Callithrix jacchus: one gene and its partners. The protein of the gene in region 5 purifies or fractionates together with the protein of the main gene of each other region. This does not show direct contact. Links are inferred from orthologs where the notes say so. Each region holds a gene or a part of one and is shown on either strand. Other genes may lie near its edges. The genes, in order: NUP133, NUP62, NUP43, SEC13, NUP98 and SEH1L.

What was found.
Region 1: the proteins of NUP98 (region 5) and NUP133 purify together in Homo sapiens (affinity purification with mass spectrometry; 6 studies listed by BioGRID and IntAct, with this or other methods). This does not show direct contact. The link is inferred for Callithrix jacchus from reciprocal best matches to the Homo sapiens genes NUP98 and NUP133.
Region 2: the proteins of NUP98 (region 5) and NUP62 purify together in Homo sapiens (affinity purification with western blotting; 3 studies listed by BioGRID and IntAct, with this or other methods). This does not show direct contact. The link is inferred for Callithrix jacchus from reciprocal best matches to the Homo sapiens genes NUP98 and NUP62.
Region 3: the proteins of NUP98 (region 5) and NUP43 purify together in Homo sapiens (affinity purification with mass spectrometry; 4 studies listed by BioGRID and IntAct, counting the BioPlex papers as one, with this or other methods). This does not show direct contact. The link is inferred for Callithrix jacchus from reciprocal best matches to the Homo sapiens genes NUP98 and NUP43.
Region 4: the proteins of NUP98 (region 5) and SEC13 purify together in Homo sapiens (affinity purification with mass spectrometry; 4 studies listed by BioGRID and IntAct, counting the BioPlex papers as one, with this or other methods). This does not show direct contact. The link is inferred for Callithrix jacchus from reciprocal best matches to the Homo sapiens genes NUP98 and SEC13.
Region 6: the proteins of NUP98 (region 5) and SEH1L fractionate together in Homo sapiens (co-fractionation; 3 studies listed by BioGRID and IntAct, with this or other methods). This does not show direct contact. The link is inferred for Callithrix jacchus from reciprocal best matches to the Homo sapiens genes NUP98 and SEH1L.

The regions. Positions count from the first base shown.
Region 1 is NC_133520.1:21,060,146-21,063,645, forward strand, and holds part of NUP133 (nuclear pore complex protein Nup133), read left to right. Parts: intron 1-451; coding exon 452-607; intron 608-931; coding exon 932-1,002; intron 1,003-3,500. UniProt on the Homo sapiens protein: Involved in poly(A)+ RNA transport. Involved in nephrogenesis.
Region 2 is NC_133523.1:43,702,823-43,707,046, forward strand, and holds the start of NUP62 (nuclear pore glycoprotein p62), read right to left. Parts: upstream 2,801-4,224; 5' UTR 2,644-2,800; exon of another isoform or gene 2,512-2,643; intron 2,354-2,511; exon of another isoform or gene 2,162-2,353; intron 1,215-2,161; 5' UTR 1,147-1,214; exon of another isoform or gene 1,103-1,146; intron 182-1,102; exon of another isoform or gene 46-181; intron 1-45. Other genes in the region: ATF5 (cyclic AMP-dependent transcription factor ATF-5), read left to right, coding at 4,102-4,224. UniProt on the Homo sapiens protein: Essential component of the nuclear pore complex. The N-terminal is probably involved in nucleocytoplasmic transport.
Region 3 is NC_133505.1:156,520,735-156,524,234, reverse strand, and holds part of NUP43 (nucleoporin Nup43), read left to right. Parts: coding exon 1-17; intron 18-3,271; coding exon 3,272-3,407; intron 3,408-3,500. UniProt on the Homo sapiens protein: Component of the Nup107-160 subcomplex of the nuclear pore complex (NPC). The Nup107-160 subcomplex is required for the assembly of a functional NPC.
Region 4 is NC_133516.1:67,482,917-67,487,041, reverse strand, and holds the start of SEC13 (protein SEC13 homolog), read left to right. Parts: upstream 1-1,325; 5' UTR 1,326-1,409; coding exon 1,410-1,550; intron 1,551-2,831; coding exon 2,832-2,876; intron 2,877-4,125. UniProt on the Homo sapiens protein: Functions as a component of the nuclear pore complex (NPC) and the COPII coat. At the endoplasmic reticulum, SEC13 is involved in the biogenesis of COPII-coated vesicles.
Region 5 is NC_133511.1:69,199,430-69,202,929, forward strand, and holds part of NUP98 (nuclear pore complex protein Nup98-Nup96), read right to left. Parts: intron 2,181-3,500; coding exon 2,073-2,180; intron 342-2,072; coding exon 161-341; intron 1-160. UniProt on the Homo sapiens protein: Plays a role in the nuclear pore complex (NPC) assembly and/or maintenance. NUP98 and NUP96 are involved in the bidirectional transport across the NPC. May anchor NUP153 and TPR to the NPC.
Region 6 is NC_133514.1:49,490,222-49,493,836, forward strand, and holds the end of SEH1L (nucleoporin SEH1), read right to left. Parts: intron 2,760-3,615; coding exon of another isoform or gene 2,747-2,759; exon of another isoform or gene 1,176-2,746; coding exon 977-1,175; 3' UTR 501-976; downstream 1-500. UniProt on the Homo sapiens protein: Component of the Nup107-160 subcomplex of the nuclear pore complex (NPC). The Nup107-160 subcomplex is required for the assembly of a functional NPC.

The DNA of each region.
Region 1 (3,500 bases), on a different chromosome or scaffold from region 5:
CAGGATTACTTTTTTTTTTGGAGACAGAGTCTTGCTCTGTTACGTAGCCTGGAGTGCAATGGTGTGATCTCGGCTCACCACAACCTCCACCTTCCGGGTTCAAGTGATTCTCCTGCCCCAGGCCTCCTGAGTAGCTGAGTAGCTGGAGCTACAGGCATGTGCCACCATGCACAGCAACTTTTTTGTATTTTAGTAGAGATGGGGTTTCACAATGTTGCCTAGGGTGGTCTTGAACTCCTGAGCTCAGGCAGTTCACCTGCCTCAGCCTCTCAAAGTGCTAGGATTGCTGGGCTAAGACACCATGCCTGGCCCAGAATCCCTTTCTTAAGTCCTGAATGAAGAATTCTTTTAGGATTACTAATCAAATATGTGAAATTTGAGTTTTAAAACAATAGTTCTTTAACATTAGAACTTATTCTGTGAATTTGACTTCTTTTTCTTCTCTGAATAGCTTTCAGGTGTTCTTTGGGATAGTGAGAAATCAAGTTTTTACAGCCTGACAAGTTCAAACATCAGTAAATGGGAATTAGATGATACTTCGGAAAAACATGTGCATAGTTGGGATATAAATAGAGCCCTGAAGGAAAACATTACTGATGCTATTTGGGTAAGGAGCAATAATACTCATCTCTGTAATTCACGTTTATGGTTGTATGATAATGCTGGTTCCCTTAAATGTTTTATTTATTTCAACACATTTCAGTGTAATAAACAAGTGTATAGTTATCAGATTAAGTGGAAATGAGGTAGTCAGTCTCTAGAAATATCAGAATGCACTGGCTTACTTGCTTAGCGATTTTTTTAAATGTACATTTTCATTCAGCAACTGAGCTATCATGGGTGAAGCACTTCACTAGGTGCTAGGGATATAAAGGTGAAAAGAAATGATTCCTACACTCAAGAAGCTTACATTATTGATGTTTTCATGTAGGGATCTGAAAGTAACTATGAAGCTATTAAAGAAGGAGTCAACATTCGATATTTGGACTTGAAGCAAAACTGGTAAGCAATTTGTCATAAAGAACACAGATAAGAGTTTGGAAAAAAATAAGTTGATGTTTCTTATAAAATCATGAGCAATCTCACTCTCTGTCTCTTTTTTTTTGAGGCAGGGTCTCACTCTGTCACCATGATATGGTGGTGCCATGATAGCTCACTGTAGCCATGACCTTCTGGGCTAAAGTAATCCTCCTTCCTCAGCCTCCCTTGTACCTGGGATTACAGACATGTGCCACCACACCTGCTTGATTTTTAAAATTTTTTTGTAGAGATAGGGTCTCACCATGTTGCCCAGGCTGGTCTTGAACTCCTGGGTTCAAGCAGTCCTCCTGCCTCGGTGTCCCAAAATACTGGGATTACAAGTGTGAGCCACAGTGCCCACCCTGTTCTTTCAGTGCTTATCTTCTCATACTGTCTATTAAGCCTTACTGAATGGTTTTGCTGTTGTTTATCAAGTGATCCTAGTTCATTTGGGAAATCGAGGCATTTTTCAGCCTTAAATGGTATATTCTTACCTTGGTGTCTCATTAGTTAGAGACATAGCTTTTCTGTGCTTACAGCTAGAGTTTCTCTTCTTCACTGCCAAGAGATGCCTGAGATCCTGTCATTGCCCACTGTCGTGTGTGCCCCATGCTGTCATTGCTCTTATTAGAGGTATTAGGCACATGTTTCCCACCCTCCTTGTGTTGCTCAAGGAGCTTTAGGCCTACATTTGTGGCTGTGCTGAGTAAAGGATGAGGTAAGGTTTTGTCTTGGTAGCACAGCTTAGAACTTCATCAGAGTTCATACTCAGAGTAAATTTCCTCTTAGAAACAGTGCCCCAAGTGGTACATAGGATCCCGGCTTAGTCTGGTAAAGCTAATTACCCATGTTATTATTTAACTTTAATGCTGAAGGTCACATGGAACTTAAAAACCATTTGTAACATTGCTCATAGTGAATACAAATATATAACTAGTAATCCTTTCGAAGATAACTTCTCAGAAATTAAAGAATATGTTTTATGAGTTTTAATTTTTAATGTTCTTGTTACATGTTTTGGTTAAGTAGAACAAATTCTACTTGTTCCTTTGAGGGATATTGCAGTTGTACCACTTTGTGTAATTTTTCTCTTTCTAGGGCTATTGAGACTATTAGTAGGGTCCTTTACAGTCTCTGAAAACCTTACAAAAGCTATCAAAGAGGTAAAAGTAATAGTACTTGTTTGATTTCTGTAAGCATTTTCTTCTTTTTTCTTTTTCTTTTTTTTTTTTTTTTTTTAGACAGTTTCGCTCTTGTTACCCAGGCTGGAATACAATGGCACGATCTTGGCTCACCGCAACCTCTGTCTCCTGGGTTCAAGCAATTCTCCTGCCTCAGCCTCTCGAGTAGCTGGGACTATAGGCATGCCACCATGCCCAGCTAATTTTTGTATTTTTAGAGATGGGGTTTCACCATGTTGACCAGGATGGTCTCGATCTCTTGACCTTGTGATCCACCCATCTCGGCCTCCCAAAGTGCTGGGATTATAGGCGTGAGCCACCGCGCCCAGCCAGTATTTTAAATACAGTTTACCTGTTTGTCTTTACCAGACTTTTGGAAATTTAGGACAGCCCACTGTGGGCATATAGTGCAGACATTTTTCACATAATTTTCAGAACTGGAGGCATGGGGTTGAGAATGAGAAGCATGCTCAGGAATTGCTATGCAGGGTCCACCCAGGACTCTTCTTCCCCAGTGTTGTCATGCTGACCAGTGGGATCCCTGTGAGGTGCAGCCCTCACCCTCTTGACCTTCCTCTCCTCCTTTACTCTAAATGATCTAGTTAGTACTCTCTTACTTCCGTGAGGTCTTGTGATCAGAACTGTACAGAGAATTCCTCATATGGATGGGTTTCTTTATTTTGAGAGTAGTGTTTGTTTGTCTTCCTCATAGTCATTCACACTTTCTGATTTGTTGTCCATTTGGCCAGAGCTGCGATCTGGGCTTATAATTTCAGTGAATAGGTTTATAAATTACTTGGCCAGGCTGGGTGGCTTATGCCTATAATCCCAGCACTTTGGGAAGCCAAGACAGGAGGATTGCTTGAAGCTAGTAGTTCAAGATCACCTGGGCAACAAAACGAGACCTTGTCTCCACACAAATAAAAATAAAAATTTATCTGGGCTGATGGTCTGCACCATAGTCCCAGCTATTCAGGAGGCTGAGGCGGGAGGATCACTTGAGCCCAGGAGACCAAGGCTGCAGTGATCTATGATTCCACCACCGCACTCTACCTGGGCAACAGAGCAAGATTTTGTTTCTAAGGCAATAAAACAAAAATTAATAAATTATTTTACTAGATGATTACTAATACAAATTTTAGATATCTTCATTTTAGATACAAAATTTGGAATTTTTTTTTAACCTTCATTATTTTGGATATATTCACATAAAAACTTACTGATCAAGCAGGAGGCTCACTTGAGGCTGGGAATTTGAGGCCAGCCTGGGCATGAGAGAGAGAGAGAAAAAAAGAGAGA
Region 2 (4,224 bases), on a different chromosome or scaffold from region 5:
TCGGCAGGGGTGGGGGGTGGGTATGGCACAAGCGTGCCTTCTTACCACTGCCAGTCGGTCCAACAGTCTACCCTTAATTCCATCTGCATTTGCTCAAAAACCTGTACTGAGAAGTGGAAGGAAGTTGGTCCCGAAATCTCCTTTGTAAATTGGATGACCAGTCATAGTTTGAAAGCACTTACTGCACAGGAACAGAAAGAGAACACATCCACCTTAATTACAGCAATACAGTAACCAGCTTTTACGCAGCACCTACTGTGTACCAGGCAGTCTTTAAACCTCGTAACAGCCTTAAGAGGTAGGAAATGTTTTTGAGACAGGGTGTCACTCTGTCCTGAAGGTTGGAGTCTGGTGGCCCAATCTCGGCTCACTGCAACCTCTGCCCCTCCCCAGGGTTCAAGTGATCTTCCTGCCTTAGCCTCCCGAGTAGCTGGGACCACAGGCGCAAAATACCACACCCAGCCATTTTTTTATATTTCTGGTAGAGATGGGGTTTCACCAAGTTACCGAGGCTGGTCAATTTCTGACCTCAAGCAATCTGCCCAGAATGCTGGGATTACAGGTGTGAGCCACTGCACCTGGTCCAGCAGCAGGCACTCTTAATGCCACTTTGTACTAAAGGGGAAACTGAGGCACAGGGAAGGGAAATGACTAGGGCCGCACAGCTAATAAGTGGGGTGCAGTTAGGTTTTGAACTCATATAATCTGGCTCCAGAGTCTACGCCAGGGATGGATACTCTTTTGGCTTCCTGGGCCCACACTAAAATTGTCTTGGGCCACACATAAAATACACTAACAATAGCTGATGAGCAACAGATAAATAAATACAACTGCAAAAAAATCTGCATAATGTTTTAAGAACGTTCTGGGCTACATGTGGACCCCCGGATGGGACAAGCTTAGTCTGTGCTCTGAGCTGCTAGGTTACATACTGCATAGGTGATAACACAGCCCCTCAGCCAAAGGAAATACAGGACAAGTGCTCAGAAACTGGGAGAGTGGACAGTAAGTGCTCCAAGAGAAGGTGGTCAGATCCCGAGAAGGACTTCCTGCCTGCCACAGGGAAGGGAGGACAAAGAAGTTTGTGTGTAACGCTCAATACCAGGGTTCCTACACCTTCTCTGGACCCTGATTCACTCTCTTAACTGCCACAGAAGAGATGAAGGTTGAACTCCAGCTGGGATGTCCTGATGTGGATTGGACAAGGTGGCTTTCTGCAACAGAGAAAAGACCAACATCCACTTCAGCTGGCGGAGGGCCCAGTGCAGGAGAAGGGGCAAGATGGCTACCCTGTCTTTGACTAAAGGAAAACGGAGATCTTCCATTTTTGGCAGGCTTGGGAGACAGCTCCTATCCAGTGGAGGCTAAGAAAGCCTGTCTGAAAGGAAGCCAAGGCAAGGGATGGAGAAAAGAACGAAGCTGGGGCCTCGATGCATGAATCCCTGCCAGGGGATGGGGCCTGGGCACCCATCCTTTGGAATGGGAGGTGAGGACGGCTGGAAGTGGACACTTTGGAGGAATGAGGGAGACAGAAGAATGACCCACCAGCAGGTGTTGGACAGTCCAACGCCTGCGGCTCTTGCAAGCAGGGAGGAAGAAGTGAGACTGGGCCCCAGAGTATCTATTAATAATAAAATATGGCTGCGCACGGTACTTCACGCTTGTAGCCCCAGCACTTTGGGAGGCCGAGGCAGGTGGATCACAAGGTCAAGAGATAGAGACCATCCTGGGCAACCTGGTGAAACCCCGTCTCTATTAAAAACACAAAAATTAGCCCGGAGTGGTGGCTCGTGCCTGCAGTCTCAGCTACTCGATAGGCTGAGGGCAGAAGAATCACCTGAACCTTAAAGGGGGAGGCTGCAGTGAGCCGAGACTGTGCCACTGCACTCCAGCCTGGGTGACAAAGCGACACTCTTTTCTCAAAAAAAAAAAAAAAAAAAATGTTGAACAGGAATGTATGAGTTGAACTCTGGGCATAAAGCTTGGCGGACACATTGTCTTGAGTCTCATAAATCCGCTACGAGAGTTGATTTTCTTATTTTGCAGACAGGGAAACGAGGTGAGGGAACTTATTTGCCCGAGGCCACCCTGGCAGGTCTGCGTTGCGGAGGGGGCTGTGACTCATGCTGGACTCTAACCCACGAGGGTTCTAAGGGTCAGCAGTTGGGGGATGGAGATGAAAAGTGTGGCTGGCAGGAAATTCTGGAAGCAGGGAAAGGGAAATTAATCGGTGCGAGTCTGCGGGAAGGGAATGAAGCAGGCCCAGACCTCAGAGGCAGAAAGAGAAACCAGAGCCTAGAGTCAGGAGGAAAAACCAGACCTCGGAGCCACAAGCAGGAGAGGGCCCGATCCTGTGAGTGGGAAGCAGGGAGTCGGATCCTCTGATCCCCACGAGGAGGGGACCGGGCTGCCTCCCGCTTGGGGCCGCGCGAGGGCGGGGCGCGGAAGGATCCGGGAGGGCCGTACTGCGCCACCCCGGGTATATCTATCCCCAGTCCCCGGGGCCGCCTCATTCCCCGACCTCAGTTCACAGTCTTCTCACTAAGCGTCGCCTCCTCCGCCCGCGTAGCCCCGGCCATGGCTCTGTAGCCGCGACCCCTTTGTGCCCCCAGCCCGTCTCCGCGCCTGCGCTCTCCGTCCCACCTTCTTTCTTCAGCCGAGGCCACCGCTGCCTCTTCCTGCCGCAGCCATGGAGTGAGTAACCGCTCGCCTCTCCTTGTCCAACCGCCTTTCCCGCGCTTTCGCAGCTCGTGGCCCTCTTTAGGAAGCCCTGGGGGTGGGGAACCACGAGCGGAGAATCACGGTCGCGCAGGCGCGGAAGAGGGACGGTGGGCCGAGGGCGCGCGGGTGCGCATGCGCACTGGGCCCGGGGCCGGGTGGGAGAGTTCTAGACTTGGTGTTTGTCAGCCCGCGTGCGGCTGCGGCTGCGCATTCCAGGGAAGGGTGTGCTTTTTTCTAAACGATTCTGTGCGTGCTTGGTTGCTCTTGCGCAGTAGCCCACTAGTGCCCCGTATGAATGAGCGGCGGGTCCTGTGCGGCGTCACACACGCGCATTGATCCCCAGGAGGGCGGCGGTGTAAAAGCAATTGGACCGCTCCGGCGGCGGAGCATGCACTTTGGCCCTCGGGGGCAAAGCCATGTGTAGACGGGGCGTTCGGGTAGCCATTCTCTGCCAATCCCCTCTACCCTCCTCCACCTCTCCGGCTCCACGTTGCTCTGACTCACAGCACAGCTTTCTTTTATTTCAACTAGGCACCTGCTGAGGCGGGGACTCACGTAGATTGACAGGGCAGAAGGCGGGGCTTAGAGGAACCCCTTTAAACGGGTGGAACCAGAACCACGTCGTCACGATGGGTGGGACTTAGGGAGTTCATTATGAGAAGGGGCGGGGCCAAGGCAACCATTAGCTGAGGGATGGGACAAAGAGGCGGGGCCTCTAAGGAATCGGGGGCGGAGCTAAACAATGAGGGGCGGGGCTTGGAGGGGCAGTGGGAAGGCGAGGCGTGGGATTTGAGTGGATAACATTAAAAGGCTGGGATCTGGGACGGTTACCCTGGGAACTGATTTGGGATGGAAACTAGGAAGGCAGTGGGGCCAAAAGGAAATATTTTAGAGGAAGGGGCGTGGCTGGAAGAAAATGTCCCTAGGATTGAGTTTTTCTATGAAGCGAAATATTCTGAGGTGGATGGGAGGGGCCTAAGGTAATTCCCCCGGGACACCCTTAGGTTCCGTATTGGGGGAAGAGGTGGGGCATCGGTCCTATAAAGCGAGTTCCTTGGTGGTGTGTGGGGCTCAGAGATTTGGGGAAAGAAAGGACAAATTTAGTATTCGGAGAGGGCGAGGCTTAGTCCTAAACCCTGGTTTGAAGGGGGAGGAAGGAACCCCATGGACGTACCTGGGGCTGTGGCTTGGCTTCCCTATGAATTTTGGCTGGTGGGCGAGGCTGTTCCTGACCCCACCCACTCTTGTCTCACGCGTGTAGGTCTTCCACTTTCGCCTTGGTGCCCGTCTTCGCCCAGCTGAGCAACCTCCAGAACCTCGTCCCAGTTGCTGCTGCAGCGTCTCCTGTTGCCATCAGTGCCCAGCACCTGTGCTACCGCCATGTCACTCCTGGCGACCCTGGGTCTGGAGCTGGACAGGGCCCTGCTCCCAGCTAGCGGGCTGGGATGGCTCGTAGACTATGGGAAACTCCCCCCAGCCCCTGCCCCCTTGGCTCCCTATGAA
Region 3 (3,500 bases), on a different chromosome or scaffold from region 5:
AGCTGTAAGAACCATAGGTAAGAAAAATCCCAGCCTGGCCAACATGGTGAAACCATCTCTACTAAAAATATGAAAGTTAGCTGGGTGTGGTAGTATGTACATGCCTGTAATCCCAGGTACTCAGAAGGCCAAGGCAGGAGAATTGTTTGAACCCGAGAGGCTGAGGTTGCAGTGAGCTGAGATGGCACTGCCATATTCCTACCTGGGCAACAGAAGGAGACTCCATCTCAAAAAAAGAAAAATCATTTTATTTCTTTCATCTCTCACAGAGTAATTGAGTACTTACGATATACTAAGTAAACACAGCCAGGTAGGGGTGGATCACGAGGTCAAGAGATCCAGACCATCCTGGCCACATGGTGAAAGCCTGTCTCTACCAACAATACAAACTTAGCTGGGCATGGTGGTGCGCACCTGTAGTCTCAGCTACTGGGGAGGCTGAGGCAGGAGAATTGCTTGAACCCAGGAGGCGGAGGTTGCAGTGGACTGAGATCACACCACTGCACTCCAGTCTGGCAACAGAGCAAGACTCTGTTTCAGAAGTAAACACAATGTTAAATGGTTGAGGGATATAAAAATACATGGACAGGCACAGTGGCTCATGCCTATAATCCCAGCACTTCAGGAGGTCAAGGCAAGCAGATCATTTGAGGCCACGAGTTTGAGACTAGCCTGGCCAACATGGCGAAATCCTGTCTACTAAAAATATAAAAATTAACTGGCAATGGTGGCACACGCGTATAGTCCCAACTGCTTGGAAGGCTGAGGCATGAGAATTGCTTGAACCTAGGAGGCTGAGGCTTTAGTGAGCCAGTATCATACTATTGCACTCCTGCCTGCCTGGGTGACAGCAAGACTCTGTCTCAAAAATATATATATAAATGTGTGCGCGCGCGCGCACACACACACACACACACACACACACACACACACGACAGGATGCTTTTGTCAAGACAGTATATTGATGAGGCCAGTACAAATGACTGACTAGAGAAGACAGAAACCTTTTTTTTCCTTTGGCCAGAGGGGATTATCAGATAAAGCATCTGGGAGTAGGTAGTAATAGTTTTTTCTAGGTTCTAGACCATAAGTAATACTAAAAGATGGCATGCTAGACAAAGGGAATAGGCCAGAGACAGGATAAAGACCTTCAGAGAATGACAAAAAGTATAGTTTGACCCAACTTTAGATATTTATGCAGGAGAGATGAAAGATGAAGCAAGAGAAGGGTAAACAGGCCAGATTGCAAGGAGTCTATAATGCAAAATCACAGAGATTACATCTTGTAGGTGGAAAACTCAGTGTATTGGTTCTCAACTATGCTTCAATAAGACTTGCCTGAGGAAGTTTTTTTGAACTGTCCACCACTCTAGACCTCTTGAATCAGAATCGCTAGGAATTGAGCCCATACGTCCATCTTTTTGTTTTGTTTTATTTATTTATTTACTTTTTAGATGGAGTCTCACTCTGTCATCAGGCTGGAGTGCAGTGGCATGATGGCTCACTGCCACCTCCGTCTCACAGGTTCAAGCAGTTCTCCTGCCTGAGCCTCCTGAGTAGCTGGGATTACAGTCACCCACCATCACTCCCAGCTAATTTTTGTATTTTTGGTAGAGATGGTCTTTCACCATGTTGGCCAGGATGGTTTCGATCTCTTGACCATGTAATCTGCCCACTGTGGCCTCCCAAAGTGCTGGGATTACAGGTGTGAGCCACCGTGCTCGGCTTTCTGTGTTGTTTATTATGGTTTTCAGTTCTGAGTTAAGTTGCATTGCTTTTTTTTTTTTTTTTTTTTTGTGACAGGGTCTTGCTTTGTCACCCAGGCTGGAGTGCAGTGGCATGATCCAAGCTCACTGCAATTTCTGCCTCCCAGGTTCAAGCAATCCTTCTGCCTCAGCCTCCCAAGGATCTGGGACCACAGATGCATACCACCATGCCTGGCTAATTTTTGTAGAAATGAGGTTTTACCATGCTGTCCAGGCTGGTCTCCAACTCCTGGGTTCAAGTGAATTGCCCGCCTCGGCCTCCCAAAATGTTAGGATTACAGGTGTGAGCCACTGCACTGGGCAACATCACTTATTTGTTAATTAATGACCGTTGTCTGGTGGCAGTGTAGAGGAGTGGCACAAACTAAAGTCTATAAAGTATATGTTAAATTATGAGGCATAAGTTCTAAACACCAGGAAATCAACAGAAGGACCATTATAACAATCAGGAATGACTTCATAGAGAGGGCGAGAGTTGATGAGGATGAAAATAAGTAGATTTGGGATGAGTCTGCAGAATAATACAAGATTGGCATGAGCTCTGTAGAAAGCACAGGGGTTTGGCCCAATAGAAGGGAAGTTCTAGATCAGGAACTAGTGGGAAATAAGATTGGGTTTAGGGGAGCTTGAACAACTCTCTCAGAAATGCAGGGTAACAATCTTTTTCTTTTTCTTTGAGACGAAGTTTCGCTCTTGTTACCCCAGGCTGGAGTGCAATGGCGCGATCTCGGCTCATCGCAACCTCTGCCTCCTAGGTTCAGGCAATTCTTTCTCAGCCTCCTGAGTAGCTGGGATTATAGGCACGTGCCACCATGCCCAGCTAATTTTTTTTGTATTTTTAGTACAGACAGGGTTTCACCATGTTGACCAGGATGATCTCGATCTCTTGACCCCGTGATCCACCCGCCTTGGCCTCCCAAAGTGCTGGGAACAATCTTAAGAGTTAAAAAAGAATGTATGAAAACTCAGCCTTCCATTTCTAACACAGTTCAAGGCTGGGCCCAGTGCCTCACACCTGTAAATCCAGCACTTCGGGAGACCGAGGTGGGTGGATCACCTGAGCTTAGGAGTTCGAGACCAGCCTGGCCAATGTGGTGAAACCCTGTCTCTACTAAAAATACAAAAATTAGCCGGGCGTTGTGGTGTGTGCCTGTAATCCCAGCTACTAGGGAAGCTGAGGCAAGCAAATCACTTGAACCTGGGAGATAGAGGTTGCAGTGAGCCGAGACCATACCAGTGCCCTCTAGCCTGGGTGACATGGCAATATCCATCTTAAAAAAAATAAAAAGAAAAAGAAAACAGTTCAGATGTCCTGTAATATTTTTCCATCCAAAGAGAATTCATTTAAACATGTACATTACTGTGTACTTTTCTATAGAAATTTAAATTATTAGTTACTGGAAATTGTATTTGTAATATAGCAATCCATGAAAGGAGTGTGATTTAAGATTTTCTTGGAAAAAAGGAACTCATTAACACATATTACCATTTTTAAAAATTTTTAGACAATGCAGATAGTAGTACACTCCATGCTGTAACCTTTCTTCGAACTCCTGAGATTCTTACTGTGAATTCAATTGGACAGTTGAAAATATGGGATTTCAGACAACAAGGAAATGAGCCTTCTCAGATATTGTCACTGTAAGTATTGATTTGTAATTTCAGTAATGTAATCCAAAATTAATGTGTTTGGTTGTTTATAGCAATTATCTTTAAGCTATGTTAATTACATTT
Region 4 (4,125 bases), on a different chromosome or scaffold from region 5:
ACTGCACACTTACTCGTTGAGTGAATGATGGAATGAATGAGAACTAACGATTGAAAGTATCTGGGCTGAGCCTGGCATATATAGTACATGCTTTCTCTTAGAAAGGTGAGTGTGCCTCAGCAGCAGGTTTGAGGGAACCTTCAGGAACCCAGAAATCAGAACACTGCGTTCTTGCTCTACAGAGGGCTAGGTGTAAATCACTCACTGCTGGTTAGAGTTGAGGGTCTTATGCTCTGACATTCAGCTTATCCTAAATGAATTTTTAACTCATTATCTTTGATTTCAAAGAGGTGAATTGTTTTGAGTGCAGGTGTTAACAGGGACCAGATAACACCAGGTGCCCAGGAAGAAGTACTCTCTCTCCCCTTCTCTGCCTCTCCTCTCCCCATCCTTCTCTCCCCATCCCTCTCCCTCCTCCCTCTCTCTCCCCCTCCCCCTATCCCCCTCCTTCTCTCTCCCCCTCTTTCCCCCTCTCCCCCTCTCCCCTCTCCTCCTCCCTCTCTCCCCCCTTTCCTCCCTACCTCCTTCCCTCTCCCTCTCTTCTCTCCCCTTCTTTCCCTCTCTCCCCTTTTCTCAAGAGGCCCTCCCTCTCTCCCCTCCCCATCTCTCTCCGTTCCTCCCCCTCCTCTCCCCCTCCCCCTCCTCTCCCCCTCCCCCTCCTCTCCCCCTCCCCCTCCTTCTCTTCCTCTCCCTTTCTCTCTCTCCCAGTCCCTCTCCACCCATCCCTCTCCACCTCTCCCACTGTCTCCCTGCCTTCTTTTCTCTTCCCCTACCTCCTTTTCTCTCCCCCTTCCTCCTTCCTTCCCCAGTCTTGTTCAGAAGCATGGGTCATCAACCCTGACTGGTGGGTGAGAGTGGTTAGAACTAAATTCTGGTTATTTCTGAGGTCCTTTGGTAACCTGGTTGAAACTACCTCTCAGTAAACTTTCTTCCTGAATCTACTTATCCCTCAGCTTTGCAGAACTCAGGGTAACAGCTGCTTTACCTTCTAAAGAGGCAGCCTGGTGGAGTGAAGTTTTGTGGGCTGGGAGTTAGAAGGTTAGGGGATGGGGCTCTGCCTTTAACTAGCTCTATGACTTTGGCAAGTGCTTTCTTTGCTCTGGGCCTCTTCAGTTCCTTAGTCTGTCTTAGGGCACTGATTGACTCTGCCCTTGGTACCTGCCCTCCCCACCTTCCCATGCACTTTGTAACTTATACAGCTTGGCACATGGAGGAAACTCCTTCTAGTCCTTACTTGCCTTTGCAGACTTGGGGACCTGTTTTTTTGTTGTTGTTGTTCTTTGTTTTTTGTTTTCAAGATGGGGGTTTCACCCTGATGGCCAGGCTGGTCTTGAACTCCTGACCTCAGGTGATCCACCCACCTTGGCCTCCCAAAGCAGGGACCTGTTTATTAGAGAGTCTAGAGTTTGATGAGAGAAGCTGTGCTTACTTGGTGTGTACCTCTTGAACTGCTTTGCAGCCATCCTCTTCCAGTGTCTGCCTTTCTGAAAACACAAGTCAAACTTCATACCTACAGGGCTTGTGCTGGAAAAGATGAAATGGGGAAAATGGTAAGAAATGTCTGTTCCACACCGAAACTTCCTTTTAAGTCCTTTTTCTATCCCAAGAATTTAAGAGAATAGTGGTTGAGCAAAGAAAAAAAAATAACAGCTTTTGTTAATTTACTTATTGATTCAGCAGATAGTCACTGAGTTCCTTCTATTTGCAAAGCGCTGTGCTGGATAATTTGAGAGGATTTGAAATTGCAGATGGCTCAGACCATGGCTCCAAGGGGCTCACCTTCTAGTGGGGAGAAGAAAAAGCATAAAACATTGTATATGTTCAGTGCTGAAGATATGCAAGAGTCCAGCCATTTGAGGATCTGAGCATCTTAAAGAAGGGTGGAAGGGCAGACCTCAAAGAATGAATAGGAGAGTGATGACCATGACACCACGTTCCAGCCCTACAGACTGTTCAACCCTGGATCCCACTTGGTGATGGACCGGGGAGCAGCCTCAGGAAAACTCGAATCAAGCCTCCCAGTCTGAAGTAATAATCCTGTTATGCATTAACTGCCTGGAACATCAGAGGCCCTGTCATCCAGGAAGGGAGCATCAGCTGTAGCTCCTTTGTGGTCTCTCCTCACCCTTAAGAGTAGCCAGGACTGCTTGCCATTTCCCCACACACATCAAGCTCACTCAGACCCCTTTGTCTTTATTCGTGTATTTCCTCTGCCTGGCCACTTGGACTGGTACTGTTTTCCCTTGTGCCATCTGCAAATTCCTACTCATCAACTAAGGCCGAGTTCATGTCTACCACCCCATCCCCCTCAGTCTCCTGTAGGACATGCAGACCACAATTAAAGAATTTATCTTGGCCGGGCATGGTGGCTCACACCTGTAATCTCAACATTTTGGGAGGCCAAGGCGGGCGGATCACAAGGTCAAGAGATTGAGACCATCCTAGCCAACATGGTGAAACCCCATCTCAACTAAAAATACAAAAATTAGCTGGGCATGGTGGCACGTGCCTGTATCCCTGCTACTCAGGAGGCTGAGGCAGGAGAATCACTTGAACCTGGGAGTTGGAGGTTGAAGTGAGCCAAGATCGCGTCACTGCACTCCAGCCTGGATGACAGAGCCAGATTCCACCTTAAAAAAGAGCTTCTCAAGGGCAGAAAGTTCCTCTTATTTGTGTCTGTGTATCCAGTTCCTGGCACACTGCTTGGCAAAAAGAAGGTACTTAGAATGAATGCTTAATGAATGAATGAGTGAACAAATGCAGTCAAGAACTTGAGATGATTGTATTCTAACTGCCATCAGTTAATTTACCAGCGATATCTTTGGTTCTAGGTGTCAGTAATTAACACTGTGGATACCTCCCATGAGGACATGATTGTAAGTATTAATATCACCCTCCCTGGAGGGCTGTGGACATGGGCATTTTTGTGGGAGGGAAGCAATTGGGTTTTTCATTACCCCTTCCTGTTGCTTATTCATGGATCCAGGGTGGCTCTGCATTGGTTGCCCATCAGCCTGTAACCTCAGGGGGTATGGCTGGGCTCCCCAGCAGTGCCCTCTGAGTAGTCAGGGCTGCAGCAGTCTGGTCACTCTCTTCTGGGAGGAACCCGGGAATAATTTGTAGTTCTAGGCTCTCGGTCTTCCAGCCAACACAGTAACCTGCTCTGGGATGAAGCCTGGGTGAGTGCACAGGTTTGACAATAGACTTCCCACCTGCCTTCCTCTTCCTGTCACTTCTTGGCCCCGTTGGAAAGGGGGGTGAAAAGTAGAGAGTGTCGGAAGATGACTCAATACAAAGGCAGAAGGTGGCCACAGTGAAAGCCCCAGGCAGAGCCCAGTCAAACTACCAAGACAATATGCCAGATAAGGCCCTTTGAACCAGAGGTCTGTACTCAGGGCATTTCCTGCTAGGTAAACGTGGGGCTCAGTATAAGAGGACAGGGCTGCAGGAGAAGGTCCAGAGGATAAAGTCTACAGCAGGAAAAACTCTGCTTCATTCGGGGCCAAGCCGCCTTTGAGCAAGAGCCAGGACAGCTGACTGACAGCATTGCATGTCAGGGTTCTTGCCCTCACAACCTGTCTACCAACAGTTGCTTTGGGTTTCTGAGAGGTTGTCTGGTCCCAGAGTTGTATATGTTCTCTGGATTCAGTCACGAGTGGTCTAGCTGTAAGACCACACCTCTTTGGAGATAGCTTGGCATCATGGTCAGGAAGACCTAATCTGAGACTCCCTAACCAATATCTTAACTATTCTGAGCTAGCCTCACTTATGGGAAAAATAATGGATGTGCTATCTATTTGTATGAGTTTGGTTTGAGAAACAGATGAGGCAAAGTAGTAATGACAAACATTTGTATGCTTACTGAGTGTCAGGCCCCATGCTAAGTACTTTTCACTCAATATCTTGTTTAACCTTCGTAACAACCCTTGAAACAGATGCTGTCATTAGCCTTATTTAAACATAAGGGAACTAAGGCCATAGGATGTTGGTAAATAATAAAGATAAGGAAACTGAAGCTCAAGGAGATGAAGTAGTTTCAACAGTTGCACAGCAGGTAAGCTAAGGAGATAGGATTTAGATCTGTAAGGTACTTTGTCCTGCCTCCTTCCACTGAGAAACATAAGA
Region 5 (3,500 bases):
CTGTATTTCTCCCTTACCCCACATACATCCAGGTACTCCTCCCTACTCCTATGGTATCCCTAAATTACTATTTTTCTCCACAGCCCTTATCCCAAAATGCAATTATGTTTTAGTTATCTGTCTCTCCTCAATATAATCTAATATGTTATCAAGTGCTTACTAGTTCCAAAGGCAGTTTTGTTCTGACCATATGCAAAGCCTGAATTAGTGGTAGAGGAGCTGAAGAGTCCTGTTGCACTGGAAGTGGCTGGAGAAGACCCAAACAAGCCAGTTGTGGTACCTGCTCCCACCTGGTTCTGTGGGCCTTTCCTGTTAGCCTGATAATCCTCTAAGCGAAGTTCCTGAAGGGAGGGAAAACATATTTCTAATATTAATATGCAGCTTAAAATAATTACTTAGGAGACTAAAGACTTGAATTTAGTACGCAAGTTCTATGCTTACATAGGAACCATGACTAAAAAAGAGAAAACTAAGGAATCACCTTATATCGTTACAGAAAAACATTTCCAATAAACACTAAAATCCATACCGTAATTATTGTAAAACTACAAGCCAAAGGGTCAACCATAATTCTCAATTTTCTTTTACAAACAATACACTCTTCTTTTGGTAAAATGCCATAAAATAACCCTAAATTTCCCTAGCCCTACAATATAAAAAAAAAAAAAAAGTAAAAATTATAATGAAAAGATGCTGATTCTGTGGGGCAAAAAATTTACAAAAAGAGTAGTTTATCAATTTTGCCTAAAGTCAGGATGTTCCTGGCACAGCCCAATAAAGTAAGCATAGTTTGTTATGTCAAAAGAAGCTATCACTACAATCAGGAATGATTATCCAAATGTACAACCTACTACATAAGCAATAAGAATGAACAAACTAACTTCATGCAACAACATGGATGAATACCTCAATTTTGAAAGACAGCCATTAAAAAGTACATAACGTGGCTAGGCGCTGCAGCTCATGCCTGTAATTCCAGAACTTTGGGAGGCCTAGGTGGGTGGATCATGAGGCCAGGTGTTCGAGAACAGCCTAGCCAACACAGCGAAATCCCGTCTCTACTAAAAATACAAAACTTATCCAAGCATGTTGGCATGCAGCTATAATCCCAACTACTCCGGAGGCTAAGGCAGGAGAGTTGCTACCCGGGAGGCAGAGGTTGTAGTTAGCTGAGATCGCACCACTGCACACCAGCCTAGGCAACAGATCAAGACTCTGTCTCAAAAAAAAAAAAAAAAAAATTAGCTGGGCATGGTAGCGCACACCTATATAATCCAAGCTACTAGGGAGGCTGATGTGTAAGAATTGCTGGAACCTGGGAGGCAGAGTTTGTAGTGAGCCAAGATGTGCCACTGTATGCCAGCCTAGGTGACGGAGTGAGACAGTCTCAAAAAAAACCAAAAAACAAAAAACTTTTATTAAGCTGCATGACTTTGCATGATTTAATTAAGAACACCTTCATATGCACACACACACATTACCCAGTGTTAACAGAACCAACATTTAGATGAGAACAGATGACTAGACTGGGCTCAGTGGCTCATGCCTTTTATCCCAGCACACTGGCAGGCCGAGGAAGAGGATCACCCGAGCTCTAAGAGTTTGAGACTGGCCTGGGCAACATAGTGAGGCCTCACCTCTACAAAAAAATTTTTAAAGTTAGCTGGGTGTGCTGGCACGTGCCAGTAGTCCCAGGTACTTGTGAGGCTGAGGATGCGGAGCCCGGAAAGCCGACACTGCAGTGAGCTGTGATTGTGTCACTGAATTCCAGCTTGGGTAAAAGAGATCATCTCAAAAAAAAAAAACCATTAGGGGTGCAAGACCTTAACATACACCTGAATATTATCTCTGGCTAAAAAAGTAGATAGCTACAAATATAATACTTGATTTTTAAAAACAATTTGGTTGATGTTAATTTTTTACATAAACCCAAACTGAACCACTCTATCCTAAAGATAATCAAAACCATTTAAAAATCTTTTGGATGAAAAGAATCCAAGATTCTATTGGATTCTTTTGATTCCAACAGAATCAAAAGGTTAGACTGACATTCTGTATTTTATTTTACTGACCTCTAGTGACTTGCTTTCATATTCTTTCATAGCAGTAATACACTGGTGCTTGGTACTTATGTTAGTGCTAACTCCAGCTTTGACCATAGTATCTGTACCAGTTGGAGGCTGCAAAGTTAAATAAAGGTAAATATGTAAGTCCAAGTTTTATCACATATACAATTTCTCAACCACTGAACTGTAAAACGAGTCACCCCCCGCCAAGTCTTTTATACTGAGAGTTTCAAGGGTGCTTGATTAAATAAATATACTGCATTTCTGATGTCTCCCTACATCAAGGTTATCTGAAGAAATCAATCTTAGTAACAAAGTAATTTCAAACCCAGGAATTAATCCCGTAACTCAAGCCAACCAACTACATGCTAAAATACATGTAATATTATACATACGAAAAGCTTTACTCAATATATACATTTAAACCTCTATATTTAAATTCTCCTTTCTGTTCTGCCCTGTCATGTTGCATTAAAAAAATATGAAAACCAGTCAGGCACGGTGGCTCACACCTATAATCCTAGCACTTTGGGAGGCCAAGGGGGGTGGATCATGCGGTCAAGAGATCGAGTCCATCCTGGTCAACATGGTGAAACCCTGTCTCTACTAAAAATACAAAAATTAGCTGGGCATGGTGGCACACACCTTTAGTCCCAGCTAGTCAGGAGGCTGAGGCAGGAGAATGGGTTGAACCTAGGAGGCAGAGATTGTGGTGAGCCGAGATCGAGCCGTTGCACTCCAGCCTGGGTAACAAGAGAGAAACTCTGTCTCAAAAAAAAAAAAAATGGAAAACCAGCTGGGTGCAGTGGCTCATTCCTGTAATCCTAGCACTTTGGGAGGCCAAATCACTTGAGGCCGGGAATACAAGACCAGCCTAGCCAACGTGGTGAAACCCCATCTCTACTAAAAATACAAAAATTAGCTGGGCATGGTGGCAAACGCCTGTAATCCCAGCTACTCGGGAGGCTGAGGCAGGAAAATCGCTTGAATCTGGGAAGCGGAGGTTGCAGTGAGCCAAGATCGCACTGCCGCACTCCAGCCTAGCTGACTCTGTGTCAAAAAAAAAAAAAAGAAACCTGTTTTTTCCCCATAACTTCATGAGAAAAAAGGCACGATAAGTAAAACCAAAGATTCTTGCTTGTACTGCCAGTTTTCTCAACTACTGTACTTTCCAAGGGACATCACACAGTATTTTTCACCATCATTTATATTTTAACTTTAAATTCAGGGTCACCAATTTACCTGAGAAATTCTTCATTTTCTGCAGTTTATTTTAACAAGAAGTTTTATTTCTGCCAGAGATTTCCGTTAGGCTAATTGCACCTCCAGCGTATCCTAAGAATCCCCAATCATTTACATTGAGTGGTATTCCATATGTTTCTGTAAACAAAATCTTCCATTCTAGCTCTCCACCCAACCGCTCTCAAAAAAAGA
Region 6 (3,615 bases), on a different chromosome or scaffold from region 5:
ATGAAATACTGTTCAAAACACCTGTCTCTCTCTAGCCCTGATAGGTTAAACCCTTGATAATTCCTCAGAAAACTGAACCAAAATGCCTATTACTAGTTTTAACCATTTTGCCCCAATTACTGTCAAGTATATTCTAATTTTAAAATATTTTAGAAAAAAATCTTTTCTAACGTTGACTAGATTGAAAGTCAACATCTGTCCATTCTATATGTTAGTCTACCTACTTTCTACCTTTTAAATAAATGTAATATTTGCTCACATCTCCTAATTTTTATTTGTTTGGGTTTTTTGTGAGATTATGAAAGAAGAGTAAGCCTTAGCAACTATCTTAAATAAAATATATCCTATTTTTATAAGGCAAGAGATTCATGTATTTAAAAATATATTTTATTATATAACCTACCCGGATAATTACAAAAGCTTTAAACAGTAATTCTAAGCAGTGAAAGGCAATTTCCTTTAAAAAAAAAAAAAAAAAAGACCAAAAAGTCCACATTAGGTTTTGCAGCTTTATACACAGGAATGCTTTATTTTATTTTACATACTCGTCAGTTGCAACATTAGCCTATAAAATTAAATCCATTTCTTAAGGTCTCAAAGGCAGAATAAACTTCACAATAATATGCTTTCACATTAGCCAGTCTGATAAAGCATAAGCAACTTAAGACTATGGTAACAGTTCAAAATAAAATTACAGAACAGGCACTTTGAAGTCTGCTTCTGTGTATAATTTCACAGATAACATTATTTGGACATACCTCATTTCATCAAAGGTTATCACCCAGAGAAGCAAATGTTCCGTTGCTGCAGACGCACAAACAGATTTAGGTTCTGAACACTGTATTCTGGTAGTAATACATGCAAGACAGACCCTAAGTTAGAAAAATCTTCTGAAAGAAAATGAAGAAAAATAGCAGCCAGAAATGAAAGCATTTACAAGCACTTGAATAAGGCCTTTCAATGTTAAGTCAGTGTTTTAAACCCCTTCATTCTCAGGTAAGGGATTAAGAGGCCGAGAGAGATATCGTCTGCGAGGGTGAGGATACTGGAGGTTGGCAGTGTCAGCATCGCAAGAGTGCTCTACCAGAGGAGGAAGAGGAGGAGGAGGAAGGAGCTGGATAGAACTGGACCATCTCGATCCAGCCCGTGGGGAATCCAGAGGGGGAAAGAAATACCTGAAACAATTAAGACAGGAACAAACACCAAACAAAACAAAAACAACAGGAAAAAAAAAAAAAAAAACAAGAAAAAGAGAAAAGTAGTAAATACAAAGAGAACCAAAGAGGAGAAAACATGCTAGGAAAAAAAAAAAAGCACAAATCAAGACCCTTACTCAAACCAAGATTGCTTAAGCAAGTATAAAAACTTGAAAGAAATACAATCTGTTAAACTTAAAATGTCAAAAAAAATCAATATAAACGTTACAAAGAAAAACATTAATTTTATAAATTCAAAACATTTTCTAATCTCTCAGAAACATCTGATGCTATTCTGTTCATTTACAAATCTAATAAGCTTTTTATTTTAAGCAATGGTTCACTCACAGCAGCAGCAAGCACACTCTTTTTTTAGTGCATACATGATACTGGGAATACAAAGAGTATGGCTGTCTACTGCAACATGCTTTTGAAGAATTATATTGAACATACTTATTTTTCTGCAAAACCCTTAGAATAGCTACCGAATTTTGACAAGTAAAAGGATTCACAGAATGACTGTTCCCTATTGTTAATCTTGTTCCATCTTGTAACTTACCAGTAATACTTATGCATTTTAGCAAACTTAAATATTTATAGCTTTGTTATCAAGGTCACAGCTTTACAGGATATGAACTAATTTAAACAGCCAACTAAATTAAGAAAATCTTGAGACATGGAATGCTGACATTCATTTACATGCACAATTTTAGTAAAATTTTAATGGCTTCTCTTATAGTACGTGTCCAAATTTTGATGTGAAGGAAACTAAGCCATGAAATAAATAACACCATAAGAACATATAAATGTATATTAGCAACATTTATCTCTTTAGTGAATATCAATTAAAAACTTAACAAAAAGGTGTTTCCATCTTACTACCAAATTATAAATGAAACACCACCAAATGCTTAACCTGGCTACAAACTGTACAGTTAAGTTACTTTCTTTTTACTATTACTACTTTACTAATTCACTCCTTTACTAATATTTTTTAAATATTACAAAGAAATGACAGAGTTGTACTGAATATCATGTATAAAGCAATTCTACAAAAAGTAAACAAATCAGCACTCAAAACAATCTTTATGAAAAATATTTATTCAATCTTCAAATTAAAATTAGAAGAGTTCATTTTAAGCTGTTTTAAGAAAGCAAAAGAAATATGTCTGTATTTTCCCAAAAAATTAAAGTGATATTTCCCCTCTTCTCAACTAGTTACATAAGAAGGTTAACAACCCTTTTAATCTTTAAACCCAAGTTAGTTTGAGGAACATTTCAAAAAATTGTTTTGGTGACAATGTCTCAACAGAAAGCCTCTCCATTTATATTTCAAAAGTTTCAAATAGTGTCAACAAACTGACTAGTACAAAAAAATATACACCGTATTTTTAAAGGCCTTTTGGGTTGCGTTTAGTAGTAAGCAGGCTGCTGGTGTATCTTGGGAGAGGTCAAAATGGCGCTGGGGAAGGGGAAAAGGAGCTCGCTTTCCATTCCTGTGTGCATGCAACAAGCAGCAAAACAGCAAAGTTACTCCAGTTAGCTTGTACTCAGCTGTGCTTTCTGTTAAAGGACATAATACAAATGGAAAGGGAAAATGCATCACAGATCTAACACAGATGGTTATTGGCACAATTAAGAATACAGATCAAAACGTCGAAGCTATTTACAAAAGAAAATACATAGTACAAGCAGTGACCAAAAACCAGACTTTAAAAATCAACTCTAATATTACTTGTTTCATGAAATAATCTTTATAATCTGGTATCTTCCACAGTAACCTGAAATTATTTTGATGCTCATATTTACAACCTCAAAAATCAAAAGCAGGAATTCTTTATAAAAATATAACAATATAAAAATAGTTGAAATTTTAAATACAATTTTCTTCTTTTATTTAGGATATCCATTAGGCTGTGTTTTGAAGCTTCCTGATTTCTATTCCAAATTTATTCACAAAGGCCTATTAAAATAGTTTTATCTTACAAATTCACATATTTAAAATTTGAACATGAAAATAAAAGGATGACTCTTTAGATGACATCAGATATTCCTTATTACGATACACAAGAATCTAACATATGCTAACATTTTAAAAATCAATCTCAGATTTTATTATTTCCTCTTATTTCCAATAAGTTTTAAACACAAAAACCAAATAATTTAATGTACTCTCTTCTAAAAAGCCTTAATTAATGTATTTATTTAAAATTTCAGTTTGACCTGATACAAAGACCACACTACAAGCACTAAAAAACACTAACGTTCATTTGGACTAAAACCCTCACTATTAAACCAGATAACCTCTTCCTCTCACTGCTGCAGAAGCAGCGTTGAATCTTAAACCTATAAACATTTCTACCAATACATCACTAAAGCTTCAGAATATAATGTAATAGCCTCATAACCTACCAGCAAA